4 linked regions of the Arabidopsis thaliana genome follow. The protein of the gene in region 4 interacts with the protein of the main gene of each other region in a pairwise test. Each region holds a gene or a part of one and is shown on either strand. Other genes may lie near its edges.

Evidence for each region.
Region 1: the proteins of AT4G00270 (region 4) and SWC2 interact in a two-hybrid assay, tested with the Arabidopsis thaliana proteins (one large-scale study listed by BioGRID).
Region 2: the proteins of AT4G00270 (region 4) and AT3G07260 interact in a two-hybrid assay, tested with the Arabidopsis thaliana proteins (one large-scale study listed by BioGRID).
Region 3: the proteins of AT4G00270 (region 4) and TRB3 interact in a two-hybrid assay, tested with the Arabidopsis thaliana proteins (one large-scale study listed by BioGRID).

What each region holds. Positions count from the first base shown.
Region 1 is NC_003071.7:15,406,090-15,411,865, forward strand, and holds SWC2 (DNA binding protein SWC2), read right to left. Parts: upstream 3,824-5,776; 5' UTR 3,600-3,823; intron 3,366-3,599; 5' UTR 3,342-3,365; coding exon 3,274-3,341; intron 3,136-3,273; coding exon 3,066-3,135; intron 2,889-3,065; coding exon 2,817-2,888; intron 2,715-2,816; coding exon 2,671-2,714; intron 2,587-2,670; coding exon 2,313-2,586; intron 2,212-2,312; coding exon 2,136-2,211; intron 2,063-2,135; coding exon 1,943-2,062; intron 1,850-1,942; coding exon 1,781-1,849; intron 1,682-1,780; coding exon 1,639-1,681; intron 1,424-1,638; coding exon 1,358-1,423; coding exon of another isoform or gene 1,282-1,357; exon of another isoform or gene 1,173-1,281; coding exon 977-1,172; 3' UTR 958-976; intron 882-957; 3' UTR 533-881; downstream 1-532. Other genes in the region: AT2G36730 (Pentatricopeptide repeat (PPR) superfamily protein), read right to left, coding at 1-484; UGT73C1 (UDP-glucosyl transferase 73C1), read right to left, coding at 4,442-5,776. UniProt on the Arabidopsis thaliana protein: Component of the SWR1 complex which mediates the ATP-dependent exchange of histone H2A for the H2A variant H2A.F/Z leading to transcriptional regulation of selected genes (e.g. FLC) by chromatin remodeling.
Region 2 is NC_003074.8:2,307,593-2,311,508, reverse strand, and holds AT3G07260 (SMAD/FHA domain-containing protein), read right to left. Parts: upstream 1,901-3,916; 5' UTR 1,806-1,900; coding exon 1,223-1,805; intron 1,052-1,222; coding exon 879-1,051; 3' UTR 526-878; downstream 1-525. Other genes in the region: AT3G07255 (nuclear transport factor 2/RNA recognition motif protein), read left to right, coding at 3,183-3,636, 3,793-3,916. UniProt on the Arabidopsis thaliana protein: May play a role in the control of plant organ development. Does not show transactivation activity in yeast.
Region 3 is NC_003074.8:18,486,991-18,491,526, reverse strand, and holds TRB3 (telomere repeat binding factor 3), read right to left. Parts: upstream 2,535-4,536; 5' UTR 2,351-2,534; exon of another isoform or gene 2,165-2,350; 5' UTR 2,077-2,164; coding exon 1,927-2,076; intron 1,850-1,926; coding exon 1,635-1,849; intron 1,531-1,634; coding exon 1,446-1,530; intron 1,334-1,445; coding exon 1,250-1,333; intron 1,150-1,249; coding exon 796-1,149; 3' UTR 531-795; downstream 1-530. Other genes in the region: ARLA1B (ADP-ribosylation factor-like A1B), read left to right, coding at 1-51, 149-266; WIH3 (cysteine-rich TM module stress tolerance protein), read right to left, coding at 3,562-3,607, 3,782-4,061, 4,140-4,188.
Region 4 is NC_003075.7:116,575-120,431, forward strand, and holds AT4G00270 (DNA-binding storekeeper protein-related transcriptional regulator), read right to left. Parts: upstream 2,070-3,857; 5' UTR 1,895-2,069; coding exon 1,661-1,894; intron 1,578-1,660; coding exon 903-1,577; 3' UTR 511-902; downstream 1-510. Other genes in the region: MEE45 (Transcriptional factor B3 family protein), read left to right, coding at 1-133, 178-477. UniProt on the Arabidopsis thaliana protein: DNA-binding protein, which specifically recognizes the GL1 enhancer sequence. May be involved in leaf initiation. May play redundant roles with GPL1 and GPL2 in cytokinin responses by regulating the transcript levels of type-A ARR response genes.

The sequences.
Region 1 (5,776 bases), on a different chromosome or scaffold from region 4:
TACAAGTACCATAAAGATGGATCAAATTGTTCCCAACATATACATCAAAATCAAACCCATGTTTCAAAACCTCAACTTGAATCTGTCTCCCAGCAGTGAGACCTAAAAACGAAGCACAAGCCTTGAGAAGAAAAGGAAAAGTGAGCTTATTAGGTTTGATTCCTCGTCTCTTCATCTCAGAGTAAACCCAAATCGATTCCACAGGAGAATCACTTGAAGAATAGCCTCTACTGAGCATATTCCAAGTAGAAGGAGTCGAATCTGAAGAGTGAAGCAGAAGGGTTCGCGCAAAGGCAAGGTCTTTGGCGAGGGATAGTGATGAAACCCGTACAAGCTCGCTGATGATAAAGCTGTCATTTTGGAGAGAGGAGAGATGGATTTGACCATGGATCTGTAGAAGGTGTTTAATTGAGGAACATAGCTTGAGGAAGATAAGACATTGGTGTTTCCTGGATTTGAAGCATGAATCTGAACTCCAAATCATTATGCCATTGGAGCTCTTAGAAATCGCAAAAAGTTTCAATTTTCAAATCGGTGATATATTTATAGATTTGGAACGGTTTTAACGGAACCGAAGTAAAATCAAAAGCTTATTCGGTTCGGTTTAATGTGAAATTGATATTTATCAACCAAAACATATCATCTTTACAAGGTCAGTAATATACAGAAGATTACACTTTCTCTCTGATTCTGAGATGGGTGTCAGAGGTTTTGGTTAGGAGGATCAATCTCTGATTAGAGTGTTGTTGTTTCCATTTCAAAGCTCTGATCATGAAAATTTCCTCCATGAATGTTCTTCTCGCTTCTAATCTCTGAGAACCAAAACCATGGTCGTGGGAAGATCCATGAATGATGTATCACAATCATGTGAGATGCAGATTCTGCAGAGCATGATTACAACTGTGAGTTCATGATCATGTTTCATGAAAACTAAAGGCTTTATATTAATATACTAACCAAATCAGGGAGGTGTTTATTAATCTGAATCTTCTTCACTCTCTTCTTCAGACTCGGAGCTAAGGAAACGAGCTGAGCTTCTGAGGGAAAATGATTTGTTACTCTTTGGAATCTTCGTTCTCTTTTGTTTTGTTGCAAAACCTTTCGCCACTAGTGTATCAAACAAATCTCCCATCTCCATTTTCTTTCTCAAACCATCATGTTCGTCCATGAACCTTCAGAACAATAAACATAAGACTGGGAAATATCAGATTCTAACACTAATAAAGACAATGTAAATATCAAAGGCCTGTTTCACTCGATAACATTCATTTGCTTGATCCGTTAGAGGAAACAACAGATGAATACTTCTATAGACAAGTGAAAACATCGATGCAGCAATAATTGGATCAAGCAACACCTTTCACGTATTGCTTTGAAGGCGTCTCTAGTTGCATAAGGAAGACCCGTTTTTGGATCCCGGTACCTGTATCAGCAATACACACAACAGCTAAGAACTAGTTCTAAAATTGCAGAGAAAAGATAATCAGGTTTCTAGGTTATAACATCATTTCTTTTCGAGAAGTATATATCAAAGAAACTGATAACTTCTTTTTAGTAGACCTAAGAGAGTCTACTTGTGTTCATCCCAGAGATCTTGTTCTTCCGATGAATAAAGAAGAAGAACAGAAAAACTCTTACTTGGCAGGTAATCCCGTAATCACACATACAGCTTTTTCTGGATCTGGAAAAGAGAAAACAAACCAAAAGAAAGACAGAGATCAGTATAGATCAATATGAACACATTTATGTTCATCTCCAAACACCACTCAAAATTACTTACAGGGAACAGACTTCGTCGACAACTCTGAATTGAATGACGCACCATTACAGAATTCTAAATAGTTACATCCTGCATGTAAAGTTAAAAGTTTAAACAAATATAGTTCTTACTTTTCTGGAAAGATCCAATTAGACTGGATTACTATTTTACTGGAGAGCTTACCATCTTTTGAATGATACCGAATCTGAGGACCCTTGTAGACTGCTTTATGCACAATCGCTTTCTTTTTTACTTCTTCTTCCCTTGCCAAGACACGTTCTAAATTCCTCAAGTTCATGATTTCTGCAAGAACCTGACTTTAGCAATTTTGAGTTTCTGATAGAGCAAATCAGATGCAGCATCATAAAAGCCAAACCTGTTTGAGCAGCTTCCAGCAGCATTTCTTCTTGGGTCATCCGTTTTTCCTCCCCTACTTTTTTCCTTTGTATTGGCTGAACAAACACAAAAAAGAATTCAACATGGCAAGACTTAGAAAAGAGATTAAAGTGTAGCCATGAATGTAAATAGCTAGTGGGGATGAGTTCTGAGAAACCTTTGTTGTTGCTTGTATAGCAGCACGCAATGCATCTCTTTCTGCTTGCCGTACAACCACTGAAGTCCGTGTTGATTTCCTAATGACTTTCTCACCTTCCATATCTTCTTGTGCTTCATTCTCTTCTTTTTCTTCTTGTTCCTTGTTTCCCAATTCTTCACCTGGCTTCTCATCTCCAGGAATATATTCTAGTTGTGAAACTACCTTCGTCTTCTTTTTCTTTTTCTTTGAAGCAGTTTTCCCAGGGTAAATCAGCCGCTTCTTTGGCAGATCCCTACAACAATATGCAAAATTGTAACAAAATTAAAACAGACACACATAATAGCCATCATAAGACAAGCTTTGAAAAAATTCAAACCTCAATTCTTTTTCATTTACAGCGACTGCATCAGGCTCAGGCTCCTAATCCCAAACAAAAGGCAAAAGAAAGAAATTAAAAAGAATGGAAATATAAGCAAAAACCTTGATGAATAAGTACTCAATACATAAGCAAGACATAAATACATCGTCATTGAAGTCACTGTCAAACTCATCAGCAACCTCACGTTCTGCTTCATATTCATCATCATGTTCTTCCTGCAGATAACAAAAGTAAAGAGATACATAAATGTCAGCAAACACACGAAAGTTTCTGCGATAGTATCTTGTCTACAAATCTGATTTTTTTCCATTATATATTTTGACATCTAGTCTACCTTAACAAATCATTAACATCTCTTTAAGAGAGTAAGCTATATATAAAACAAAACAAACCTCTTTAAGAGCTTCTTGATTCCAAAACTGTTCATCTTCTTCTACTTCGTCATCAAGCAACTTGGTCATCCTGAAAAAAAACAGAAAACTGATGAATAAAGCTTCCACAAGAGAGTTTCTGATACATCTCAATAACAGTGAGACAAAACCACAATCTTCAGGTGAAACACATTCATCAGGTAAAAGCTTAAGCTCAAGTAATTCTTACCGTTTACCCCGTGTTGCTCTTGTTGTACGGTCCAAGAACACCATTGGCTCTTCTTCATCGATTTCCATTGATAACTTGCTCAACTCTTACTTCTACAAGTTCACAAATTTAAACGAAAATGTCATAACACACAAATTAACAAATCAGCAAGGAACCCCCAAATTAGGGTTTCTCGCAATTTCAAGACTTTACGATTATATCGAGAGGGAAACAGGAACAAAAACCCAAAATTTGAGTGATGTACACAGTAATCGAAGAAGAGCCCATGAAAGCGAGAATGAAAAGTAATTTGTGTGATGAGCTTAAAATCTCGCTCGAGGAGTTACCTTCGGAAAATTTTAGGTTGGAGAAGTTTCTTCGACGAGCACACGTCTTCGCCGGCGACCGCCGCACCTCTTTGATTCACTCTTTCACACACGGTGCCGCTGGTTCGTACACCATTGTTATTGGACTTGAGATATTAATGGGCCTTCCACTTAGACATTTTCAAAGCCCATATTATATTAGAAGATTCTTTTTGTAAAATAAAACTTACAATGATAGACCGCTGGGGAAAAACGTTTTATTTTTATTTTTATTAATGACCTTGAGTAATTTCTTTTTACACTGGCATATATAAAATTTTAAATTAAATTTACGATGAAAAATCGTAACGTAAATAATACCAAAAAAGAAAGATGTTAAGATATATAAATCGGTTAACAAAATTGTCCAGAAATGGTAATATCATAGATAGATTTCAATTTTCAAGTCATGCATGATGTCATTTTGGATATAACACGAGTTGTCAACTTGTCATGATCGAGAAAGCAAAAGTAAACAAACAAAAAGTGTTTCTACACTCCTCTAAACTCCAAGGAGCAAGCAATATCGAAGTTGCGATCTCATGCAGGACCACTGGAGAAGGTTTCTACACTCTTCTAAAGCTACAGAAAAAAAAAAAGTATATAAGAAATTGTGTTTTTTTCTTCAATTTGAGTGTACGAATTCGAATGCTTAATAAGTATGTACTAACTAAGATGTTAGTATAAGATTCGATAATAGAGACAATTTCAAATAAAACTATCATAAATTGTTCTTGAACAAAGAGAAGTAATCGAGAACAAACGTCACAATCATTTTTTTTGGGTAATACAAAAGAAAAGTTACAATCTAAGAAAAGTTACAATCATTTCTTGGGTTGTTCTAATTGCATTATGTCTTGTAGCAAGAATGTGATGTTGGAATGAGAAGAGCCTCCTTCTTCCACAGCCTTGTGAGCTAATTCTCCAAGCTCTTTCACTCTTTTTCTTCTCTCCTTAGCATCATTACTATCACCCATCAATTCCTCCACTGCCTTCTTTACTCCTTCTTTATCCACCAGTACTCCTATTTTCTCCTCTTCTCCCCATCTCATGGACTCTTCAACCCCAGCTCTCACACCGGCTTTTAGTATCTGCACCGCCAATTTCTCATTGCAGAATTGGTCTCCAAACAGTGGCCACGTGAGTAATGGAACGCCTGAAGTGATTCCTTCAAGAGTAGAGTTCCATCCACAATGTGTCAAGAATCCTCCAACGGCAGGATGTGTAAGGATAAGCATTTGAGGCGACCATCCTGTTATGAGAAGGCCTCTTTCTTTGATTCTTTCCTTATAACCGCTCTCTGAGATCCATTCAAGTAACTCGTTATACTTCTCCCAACCTCTTATGACCCAAATGAAAGGTCTTTGGGATTCCTCGAGGCCTAAGCCGAGCTCTTTGAGCTGAGACAGAGGAAGATTGCATATACTTCCAAGGCAAACATATAGCACCGACCCTTCTTCTTTAGAATCAAGCCATTTAATACACTCGTCTTGATCAATGTCCGCCTTGTTTCCCCTCTCAGCTTGGTCTTCTCCTAACTTGTTGCACAAGGAAACCGGTCCGATGCTCCATATCTTACCCGCTTTAACCTTCTTGTAGTCTCTAACATAAGCTGGCTCGAGCTCTTCAAACGTGTTAACAATCACACCATAAGAAGTGTTATCCCCTTCTGTCATTCCGTCAAGGAAGTCTTTCCAATCTCCAGCAACTAATACCATTGGAAGCTGAGATTTTGTGAACTCAACTCTGTCAGGGAAATTAGGAATGGGGAAGTATTCCTTGTCAGACTCTATAGTTTCCAAGAACTCGTGGTTTTGGTGCATTATGTGCGTACAAAGAAGATTGAAGCAACACATGCCATGAAAGATGATTTTTGGTATACCAAGATTCTTGGCAATTCTGTTTGTATAAGGCAAACACATGTCAGCGATTATGCAGTTTGGCCTAGGTTGAATCTCTTTCAAGAGCTTCTCGACTGGTTCCTCGAGCAGGCTAAATGCTTTGAAGAAGGTTAATGAAGCCCCCAATGAATCGAGCAAGTCCAAATTCTCCTGTCCTTCCGGTGAACCCGATTCTTGAGATGGAAACTTTACTTGCACGAGATTGATGGGCAAGCCGGATTGGATAGCCCGGCTAAGAACGTTCTTGAACCGGCCTGC
Region 2 (3,916 bases), on a different chromosome or scaffold from region 4:
TTATTGCGAACAGCCTAGATCTTGACCACCGATAAAACAAGAGAAGAAAGTTGATTTTTGGGTTTGAATAAAGTGGTTTCAATTTTCATTAGGCCAAAAAGTAAAAACTTAATAGGCTCAAGTTTGTAAAATAAACTTCTAATTTGTGATGATCACTCTTGTGATGTGTTATGTGTTAAACTCCAAACGTTTTTGAATGATTGTATGTGTTGACTTTTAACAGTGTATGCGTTGACTAAGTGATGTACAGTAATGAGACGGGGAAAATCATACTAATATTTCCTTCCGACAACTTTATCTGTACTATGCATAGTACTTTTGAGACAACTTTATCTGAATTTTGTATAGTATACTTTTGGGTTGTGATATATTTTCTCGTTTGATTTTTCTTTTCAACTAAATAATATGCAAACCAAATCCGCTTTCGCCATAAGAAAACAACTAAAAGGTTAAATTTACCCGAGAGTGTATTAATGTTGAATAGCCATATAGGCTATAGTATGTATATGGCTGAAAATAGCTTATGCGATTTCTTGAAGAGAGAGAAAAGGTTAAATCCGAGAGTGTTTTACTCATCAATGTCATTGTCATTCTACATATACAACGTAACAAAGAAAAGCGAGAAAAACTTAATCCGACGAGTCACCAAGGTCAAAACACCTAACACCCACTTATACACTCATTACGTGGAAACATAAAAGATATACTACCAATCATCCTGCTCCTGCACTAACAATCATCTCGATGATTATGAGAGTAGGGTAACGAGGGAAACGAATTCAAGGGTAACTCTTCCCTTTGATCTCGTGTTGATGACGAAATGCTCCGGGTATTTTCTCAGCAGCATCAGCAAACCGTACCATGGTTTACCTTTTGCTTCAGGGATAGCCCAGTCTTCTTGTGATAGGTATCTTCTTACTCGACTGTGATGCCATACGTTTCCATACTCCTTTAATATCTGTCACAGACCAACCACTACCATGCATTAGCTGCAAAAATTGTTGATCATCAGCTTCACGATCTGCCTTTGATCTTCCCTCTCTCTTCTTCTCTGCACAAATGAAGCAGATACAATGTCGTGGTGTCACTATCATTCAATCTAAGTCTAACAAGGTTCAATCATCAACCACCACAGTAAAACTTATACTCAAAGTCTAGAACAAGCCTGAAATCTATTTAGTGACACAATGAAGTTAAGCTATCATGAGCAATTTGGTTTTACCTCCAGAGGCATATACTCCTTCATGTCCATCTCTCCATGTTTTCTTTCCACTGCCTCTGATATCCTCCTCTTCATCGTCGTCTTCATCATCGTACTCATACAACTCTCTACTCCGGACGCCATTCTTACCCGACCCGGAACCTGGACCCGAATGATAATTATGGTACGGAACAACAGTAGCCTTCCCTAAGACGTGGTGCCTGGGTCCCAATGGACCGCCTAGGATACTCCAAACCGGAAGCAGGAAGTAGAACTCCTTGTCACCAATCTGCAAAAGGTCCTGTGAATCGAGCTTGACGTTGGGGTTCCCAGGGAGATGGAGGACACCTTCAACGAAGCAGCCATTTTTGCCAAGTACCTCGAGAGAGAAGCGTCGTCTAGTGAAGTCATAGAAGATCCGAGCGTGGTTGCGAGAAATGTTCATCCCACCGCCGAGAGATGAGAGGTCGACGTCGACGGTCGATTTCTTAGAATTCCGGCCGAGAATAATGGAGTAAGACTGCATATAGTACTCGAAATCCTCACCTTGGAGCTTCGCAAATCCAACCTCTACATCGCTCCCGCTTCCAACGGCTGTAGCCATGCCGTGAAATTTCTCCGATTTTGAAGTCGGAGATCAAATTTGGGGTTACATAGTAATAGAATGTGTTTGGAAACCGGTTTAGATATGTTGTGGTTAAACCGTACAATGAAAAATATAAAGGCTTCTCAAGTAAATGACTATTATACCCATCATGTTTTCAGCCTCTCCACTGTCAATGTTACGGGCCTTACGGCGATCAAATCAAAACGGGCAGTTTGTTTCCACGGCTAACAAAAGAAACAGCTTTAGTTGGGCCTTATCTAAAAAGCATCAGCCCATTAACGTGAACCGGATCTTATGTACATAAACCCAGTAGTATGTAATATTCGGGGATAAGCATGACATTGACATGAATATGGATCATGTGATAACCGTAAGGCTTGAAATTATGATGATAAAATATGATGAAAAGTTCATAAGAATATCGTCACATTTTTGTCAAAGAAATAGCAAAGTCAAGAATGGTTTTCTTTTTCTAGAATCTTTGCTTTACATTTTGTTAAACATTTAATCAACCGAAAAAATCACAACGAGAAAAGAACATTTGCTATATTCCACAGTGTATTCGCAGAATCTTCCTTTGTTTTTCTTGTCAACAATTCAAATAGTCTCAATCCTCTTTCCACTTTCCAGGTGCAATTCATGCAAGAGTAAGGCTGGAACTTGTGATAGCCAAGCTATAATAAAGCAACTTCAACAAGCTATTCCACTATTCGAATAAAGACACGAGTCATCTATCTACTCAACATAATTCTTTACAGCCATTTGTCATCTAGCACGTGCCCATGAAGCCAGCCAAACATGAACCACGTCGACACACATCAGATGAGAATAACCGTTACGGCGTCATTTGCTGACCTGGACTGTCTAACCTATTGCACTGTCTCTCGAAGATGGTCGCCACATGTCAATCCCGGGGTCGTGTTTATGCTCGAGATTCGCGGAGTCAGATACGAACACAAGAATTCAAAACACCCAACGTGTCCTCGTCAAAGCCAGCAGGATCTCAGTGTACACGTGTTAACTGTTTCCATGCACGTGTTACACGTGGCGTCTCGGTACTTTTCGTCAAAATTTTACTTGATTTTTACAACCAATGGAAATAGAAACCAACAAAATAAATGGAAAGCGTTTATCGATAATCCGAAATTGTAGCGCTAATAAAGTTTCTTAACCTTTCTCTTAGTGAATTTTGAAACCGCCCATGTCCACTATCCTTATCGGACATGTGTCATGTTCCGAAGCCTTTACCATTCTCTTTTTAATTATCTCCGCCCCTTATAATATTCCTTTCTCATACAACAAAGTTGGCGAAGCTTCAAAACCCTTCAAGAGGAAAATTTTGCGGAAGACAAGAGACCATCTTTTTGACATTATATGTTTGTTGAATCTTTATCAATGGCAGAAAAGTTTGTAGAAGATGAGAATGTGGAGGTCGAGCTCGAGCTCGAGCTATGTCTTTCCCTGGGAGGTCCTTTCAAGAAAACGGAGAAATCTAAAACATTTGGACAATCTAACGCCGTCGGATTCGAGAAGGATAACGGCGTTAATCTTGACGGCAGAACGACGAATGTGACGAGGATAAAGGAAACACGGAAGAAGCGGGAGGCGAAGCAGCAGCAGAGAAGCGGAGAAGAAGGAGAGTGCAAGAGGATCAGAACAGAATATAACGGAGTTAGTAACGGCGATGATATGGATTTGAGCTCTATCAACATGTGTAACGGTTACGGGTCGGGTCGACTCAAGGAAAGCAGTAAAGACGTTACGATTGGGTCACCCATTTGCACCTCCTCCTCCGTATCCGATCCTAGCAGCTCTTCTCGCCAAGAAGGTATATAACAACCTTCTTTTAAAAATAAACTAAAATTGGTTGGTATATGTATATAGTTTTTTTTTAGTATATAATTCGATGTGTTGATTCTGTTAAAGAATCACGAAAATTATGCTATTTGCATGTAGATGATTTTGAATTATGGTTAATGTTCAGGTGGAAGTGGCGACATTGGGGCACAATCTGGCCAAACCAAACAGGTTAGATCTCCGGTTAACAACATTCTGACCGGTACAGAGCAAACCGTGCATAACACAGACGGTTCAAAAGACGCGGAGAC
Region 3 (4,536 bases), on a different chromosome or scaffold from region 4:
CAAGATTGACATACATGGAGCTCTTTCCAAAGAAGCCTTGACAGAAGAAATGTATAGCTCTTTATTCATCTGAACACTCCAAAAACAGCACTAAAGGCATCTCATTTAGCTCGATCTGATTATGCTTCTTGCCTTGTTTTTGTTGCAGGGGGCTTAGTTCGGTTACAAGTAGAGAAGTCTGCTGTCTCATGATATCCTGCAAGAACCCTACCACCATTGATCAGCTCACTGATTGGCTTGTAAATCACTCAAAATCAAAGAACTAAACTTCAACAAGAACATCATATGTTCTCTCTTCTTGATCTTCTTACTCGTCCTCTGTTGTCTGGTTAATGATGATGATGAGTCTTGAACTAATTTCGCGTGAAACAAGAGTTTGTCTTTATTTGTCTTCTGTCTCACCTGCTGGTCTGGTCTGGTCTAGTTTGCTCAAGAGGTTGTTTTCTATTCTTAAGGCTTTGCAACAAAAACATAAGTGTCTCAATTTTTCAACTTCTAAAAATCCAAGGAAACGGAAATAAGCTCTGTATACAAATCAAAGGCCTTATTTATATCTTTTCAAACCAGTTTCAAAATGGTTCACGAGAAACCTGTGAAGTTACTAACAAAACCAGATCAACAGAAGCAAGAGAAGGAACAGGTTTTACATAATCATCTGAGTTAGAAGACACTGTTACTGACTAAAAACACTGCGGCGATTGTAAAATGTTGATTTCGATGCAAGATCGAAACTTGACATAACATGAAGAATTGAAGATATATCAACCGATACAACATCAATGATTTTCTTAATTCTTACCGAGTTTGGCTATGCATTCTATACTTCACAGCTTTCATCGCCGCTTTTGCAAAAATATGGGCAGCTTCAGCTTCGGCTTCTGCTTTATCTGCCTCTCTTGCTGCTTCTTCAGCTTCTGCCATTGCAAATTCTGCTTCTGCCACAGCTCTTGCAGCTGCTGCAGCAGCTTCTTTTTCTGTCATACCCATTATCATAACTTCTCCACCTACTTGGGATTTAGTAAGATTTTTGACGCCATTCTCCTCCGGTTTCGGAGTGTTTTCCTTGTTTCCTTCCAACAAGAGTTGAGGAGACCTTTGTCCTTCTCCTTCAGCCATATAATTCTGAGAAATCCTGTATTTGTGCTTTTTCTGAAAGGTGAGAACAAACGCAAGAAAACCATTGTTAAGTCAGTGCTAAATTTGTGACATTTGCAAGAGGAAATTTCGATCAAAGTATCTCTCTTTATACCTTAACTAATGTTCCAACATTTGTCAAATACTTCAGCCTTGAAGTCACAAGCCGTTTCATATCCGGTTGCATCTTGAAATTCTCCTGAAAATTTACAGCAACACTAAGACCTTGATGATTGTATATAGATGCAGTAAGCAATGCTTAACTATTTACAGACACAACGAATAAACACAGAAGGAAAACTTCATTGTACCTCTATATACATCAAGATCGACTTTCCGTCAGGACCAAATGGTCTCTTCAAGCTGGTAATAGCCTCCAATATAATCTTATCCACACTACAACAAACACATTAAAACAAGCCTATTATATTCCTCACTATTCCCATATTCCACATTCACAGCATCAAGAATTCATACAAATACAAGAAGAGAGACCAAACCTTGTAGAAGGTCTTGGAGGTTCACAAGAACCTGCAGGAGGAGATGGTGCATCAATCTGTTGTCCTCCTACATCACCATTAGCTAAAGACACAATGGTAATAGCTGTAGCGTTATCGTCTTGCCTACTACCCGACAAAGGAGTTCTTTTAAGAGCAAGCTTAGCCTTCTTCCTAGATCCCCATAAAGCTGTTACACTTATATTTCTCCATTTGTCCTGTAGACAACAACAATAGTATAAGTTTCGAACTTTTCTATAATCTCTCTTCACTTTAAAGTTGTTGATGTTTTTACCTTGAGATCCACATTAGAACGAGACTTCAGAATTGTGCTATACACAGGATCTGAGAGAATGGTACGCCATTTTCCAGTTCCATGTTTAAGTACTCCAGCTTTAAGAGCTGTTTCTTCTTCTGGTGTCCACTTCAGCTTTGGAGCTCCCATTCACACAATTTTATCACAAAATTCAAAAATTCTATAGAAACACACACACACACACAACAAACACTTCTAATGTCTCGACTTCAATTCTCTGTGAACAGATGAAAACATCACAAAGATCAATACTTTATAATGAAATCCCCAAGTTTTTCAATTGCATTAGTAATTCAATAGAAACGCCAGAGATTACGAAGACACGCACGAGAAAAAGATTAAAGCTTTCGATCAGGGAAATGGGGAAATTAACAAGGAGAAGAAGAGGAAGAAGAAGACATGCCTGAGAAAGCTGAAGGGAATGAGAGAGGAAGCTATGGAGAGTGTCATGGATCAAAGTTTGAAATCTAAAAATTGTGGCATGAGACAGAGGAAGAGAAGACACAAAAATTTGACCTTTAATCTTTCGATTCACCTACGCATGTTGGAGGATGAAGTATGTATCGATTTTGAGGTGCTTTACTGGGAGCCCTTTATTATCTTCATTTTTACAAATTCGTCTTAAACTTTATAATTGCAAAAATACACCCATTTGATCTATTAGGGATTAATTTATGAAATTAAATTAACAATGCGAGTAAAAGCAAAGTAGAAATTAGAGTAAACAAGAGATTCAAGAAAAATGATTTTTGAGAGTAAACTTGACAATTACAAGAGATTTTTTAGTAATATAATAAATTTAGGGTTTTCGAAAATAGAATTACGGATTTTTTGTTTGGTCATCGAGCTTCTTATTTTTCGGATGGGAATATGTCTAATATTCTTTACCGTATTATTTCTTAAGATTTGAGTGAATCTTTCCTTATCTTCATGGAGGTCGATGCCGAGCTCATCGACTTTTAGTTCTTGGACTGATTTCACAATTCAGTCATATCATTTTGGTGTATTTTTGGTTTGAACCGAGTTAATCGGTGGATACTAAACCACTCTCTTACATTAAATATAAGAAGTGAAGACTCAAGATTATATACGATTTAGTAGTATTTTTATAAAAATTTGTACATTGAATAGTTGATCAACCGAGGAATGGTGGATGTGACATATATGTTTGAGACGGAAAATGGAAATATATCGGACCGTAAGTATAAATTTATATAAGTTTGATGGTAATGCTAAGTTTTGATCACGTTGATACAGTCACTTCTTCTTACATTTTTGATGAGAAAGAGAACAAAATTGGGTTGCTTTCTTTTTTTGTGTTCCTCTAGTTGGAAAGAATGAATGGCTTTTATACAAAAGATAAAACACACATATACAAAAGATGGGTAACATACCCTGAATCAATCAATAGTCATGAAAGTAAACAAGACCTCAAGTCAAATTCGGATTCATTCATAAAATTAAAGAAAATTAAAGAAACAAACCCAAAACGTGGACACACATAACCAGAAGAAGAGATCTAAAATGTATATCAAACACGTCTTTTTAACATGTTTGACAAAATTGAATAGCATCCTCAAGACGGTCAACGGCAAATATCAGCTCATCTTCCGATCAAAAGCAAGCTTCCAAGAGAACGCAACAGCAGAGCATAGCCAAACTGTAATACAAAACAAATACACATTTTATAAGTACCAAACATATAGACTTTGAATATCCATATTACTCCATACCAAAATTTATGAATAATGAACCAAAAAAAGGTATATCATCAGCTTCAAGTATTCAAAACTATATGTTAATATAAAAAGAGAGAGATAATTGGTCAACGCACCATCCTTCCATGAAGCCTCCTGAATCCTTCTTATCTTTCTTATTTTTCGGTGGAGCCTGACCATAATGCGGTGGTGGAGGACCTTGATAAGGATATTGTGGTGGATGACCTTGAGGATATTGCGGTGGAGGATAGCCTTGTGCTGGATATCCTTGACCGTATCCTTGCTGCGGTGGAGGATAACCTGCTGGAGGATATCCCGCTTGAGGATATTGTGGTGGAGGATAACCTGCTGGTGGAGGATACCCTGCTGGTGGATATCCTTCCTTAGGAGGATACCCTGACAAAACAACAACATCGAAACTTAAGAAACAAGAAACAAAAATACCCTAAAAACTTGGAAAAAATTGGGAATTACCTTGAGGAGGAGGAGCACTAACGGGATGTTGTGGGTCTTGATAAGACATCTTCTTCTTCTTCTCTGTTATGCTCTTATCTGAGGGTTTATTTCTTTCTTTATAACGAACTCTTTGCTTCTTTTTCTTCGCTGTGAATGGAATAATAATAGGGTTAGTGACAATGATGATGGATAATAAAGGAGGTTTAGGAGACAAGAGACATGTTCTCTCCAAGGACTACTCTTAGATTTTAATGATTTTTAAATATAACTAAGAAAACTTACATGTGATATAGATGACCAACTCATATTTGTGGAACTGGAATCATTCAAATTAAATTGCTATTGAAATTTCAGCCGTTAAATAACAAAAAGATGACTTTATTTATTTCCTCCTTTATTATACCAACTATCATCG
Region 4 (3,857 bases):
TCTTTCGACAGAGCAAGAAAGCGATGAAGAGAGTATCCACGACGAGAAAATCTCAAGAAGAAAGTCTTTACTATCCGAAAACCGATTTGTGACATTAACTCTAACACCTTATACAATCCAAAGTTCTCTACTGGTACGTTTCATCATTCCAAGCCATTGTCTTTTAACAGTCTATAGAATGAGAATCTTTTGTGTGAATCTATGTTTCAGCGTCTTCCGGTTCCTTTCACGAGGATGAATGGTATCAATGAAGAAACTAAAATGACTCTGTTGGATAAACATGGTGTGAAGTGGTTAACGACTCTGCGGTTCGAGGACGACAAAAGAAAAAGACTACGAATGGTAGGAGGATGGCAAGGATTCATCCAAGCTAACGATGTGAAGGCAAACGAATCCATCATGTTGGAACTGATTTGGGAAGAAGAAACAAGTTGCGTCCTTAAGTTCTGCTCCAAGGTGAAGCTAGAAATCAAATGAAACTCTATATTGAAATGAATCAATGTTTGACTCTTTTATTTGGTAAGATATAACTCTTAAGGTTTCATTGTCTTAGAGAGTAAGAACAAAAACCATTTTTCTTTTAATCTTCTACATTGTTAATATCTTGGATAATATTACAAGACACACACACACTCTTACTTATACTACTTCACTACACTCTTAGGCACACACACAAGCATGCCTTAAAGCACATTATTAACCCTAGACTCTAGACTCTTGCACAAGCCACTCTACTACATTGGCTCTTGTGGATACTTGAGTAAAAAGTGGAATATCTTACAAACACTTGCCCAAGTAGAAGAAAGACAGGATCCAAAGATAAATACACTGAACAGACTAGAGCTTATGACTTACTAAGAACCTAAACAACACCAAATGCTACAAGGGCATATTGGTTTCATCTAACTATCATTAGCTGCCTCTGCAAGCTTGGCGGAAAATCTAAGCTTCTTGATATTGAATCTTGTTTCCTCAACACATAACGCTTTCCATTCATCACTCAACTCTCTTCTTTTACCATTTCCAAGGTTCATCAGCTTCTCAAGCTGCAACTTCTTTTGATAACCACTTAAACCTTGCGACATCACCGCCTCAAATGCATCCTGCACCGCGCATAACTCATCATCATCATCATTGTCCTCATCATGTCTCTCTTTTCCACTACTAGTCCCATTCTCTGTTGTTTTGGCTGCCCCATTCTCATTTAAAAGTTCAGTATTAGCCACTTCCTCCTCGTGCTCCTTCAACATCTCCTCCCCGCTCTCGTTAGTCCGGTTTTCCGCTGCACCATTTCCGTTTACCTCGTGCTCCTTATCCATACCATCATCATCACCTTGTCCCCAAATCATCGAAGAAAACCCAAAGGCTTCAGAATCACTAGACCTAGTAAATTTGGGATCATTCCCTTGATTGATTTTCTCCGAGTGAACATGAAACCTCCTTTTCAACTTCCTGATTTTACTCAAAACCTGATCCTTGGAGAATCTCTCAACGATAGAACTTCCGAGGAAACTACAAAACGCATCCCAATCAATTTTGGGATTGAATCCTGTCTTAGCTCTGTAATCAACTAACCCCTGAGCAATTTCGAAAATCTGGTTTTAGAAAATCACAATGCAAAACCAAATCAAACTATAAATGGAGAAGATCAATACAATACCTTTAAGATAGAGAGCTCATCTTCCTCGTTCCAGATCCGGACGATCAACGGCGGATCCAATTTCTTCTTCTTCTTCTTCATCTTCATCTTCTTCTTCATAGTCTCTTCTTCTGCGACGGAAGCAGCACGCTTTGAGGAAGGAATATTCCGTGGAGATCTTCGATGGGAGAGGGTACCGTTGGAGTTATCAGCACCAACACAGGAAGAGAAATCGATCTGCTTCGGAGTCACCATGCTTATTGCTTGCTTTAGACTTGCTGATTCTAGGGCGCATGCAGAGCAGTGATTCCCAATCTTCACGACCTTTAAAAAGTGAAACCCGAGAGAAAAAGAAAAGCAAAATAGGATGAGTAACACTTGGCCATACTTTTCTCAACATTCATAACAAAACAAACACTTTCATCTTTTTTTCTACTGTTTAATATTCATCAATAGTACAATTTTGCTCTTGCAAAAATCTATCATTTTAGTCACTTAATAGTATAAAATATTTTATCTACCTTTTTTATATAATAAATTAAAATTTAGTTTTTTCTACATTTTAAGATTCATTGCTGATATATTTTAAGTAAATAATTATATTATATATTATCCATTTCTGATTGAATATTTTTTTATTATTAAATAGATATTAAAAGGTATTTGAACAAAACATATTACACGATAAATTAATAAATTTTGTCGGTCTCAAATCGGGGTAATGTAAAAATTAACCAAAATCGATAAGATAATAAGATAATATTTTTTTTGAAATCCCTATGTAAAAATATGGTACCAGTAATATCATAAAATTAATAATCATAAATCTTTAGCATACATTCAAAGACTAATTTTATATGAAACTTTTGTTCAAGTCATAATTGCAACTCTTTCTAGAGTATAGTTGGTGTGATCTCTTTTGTATTCACATAACTCTTTGCGTATTTGATCCGTCATATTTGGTTTTGTAACTTTTTTTATATGAAAAATCATTGTTAAGATTTGTGTAATAAAAAATTGGATTAAGTCTCACGTTAACGTCGTATACATGCACAATATCTTACAGAGAAAAAATAAAAAAAGTAATAAAAAAAAATCTAACAGAATATACAAACAATAAAACATAAAGAAAAACTAAATTAAAATTTTTCTTTTTAAAAAATTAATATTGTATTTTACGTATAAATTTTTATAAATTAATAAATGTACTACTATCATAGTAACACCTACAAACTGATATGCATATATACACAAATGAGAGTTAACACTATATATATATCGATTGTACCTTGTGTAGTGGAACACTTTATTGTTGTAAATACATAATCCTCAACTATTAGTGTCTATGTATGTCAAACAAATGAAACAATGAAAGCAATCCAAATTAAATGAACAGATTACAATGTAAAATGCCTTCATCCATCTCCGCCATTAGCATGATAGGAACTTGTACTCGATTTCGAGATCCAAGGAATATTACAAAAGGAACGTAACCGTGCTTCTTTATGATCTTCACCACCTCAAGAAGGACCTCTTGTTATATTGTATAGCTCCTCTTTTCCCTGAGACAAATGACCACAATTCTAATGTAAAAAGATCACATCAAGCGACACAATACTCCATCGGTCAAAGATCATTCTTTTAGCCAAAACTTCATTGATTAAGGCTTTGAATGGGAGGGAAGCAGAAAAAATACATGTTTACCTTTGCATATAGTGCTCCTATTATCAAGACATTATTTCTGTATTTTCCTTTTTGTTTTAATATTTAGAGTTAAGATTTCTGTTATTTAAAAACAGTTGATCTATGCATGCAGTCCTTCTCTTACCAAGACATCATTCATGTATTTTTATTTTTGTTTTAACATAACATTTTTGTTATTTAAAATCAGTTGACATGTGCATGTAGTGCTTATGTTACCAATACATCATTTATGTATTTTTATTTCATATTTTATTATTTAAAATCAGTGTATCTTTCTATGTATTCCTCCTATTACCAAGACACTATTCATGTATTATCATTTTTATTTTAATATTTATTTTAAGATTTTGTTATTTAAAATCAGTTGACATGTTTATGTAGTGTTCCTGTTACCAAGACACCATTTATGTATTTTATTTTTTATTTAATATTTATAACTAAGATTTATGTTATTTAAACAACAGTTGACTTGTGCATGAAGTACTCCTATTACCAAAATATTATTCATGTATTT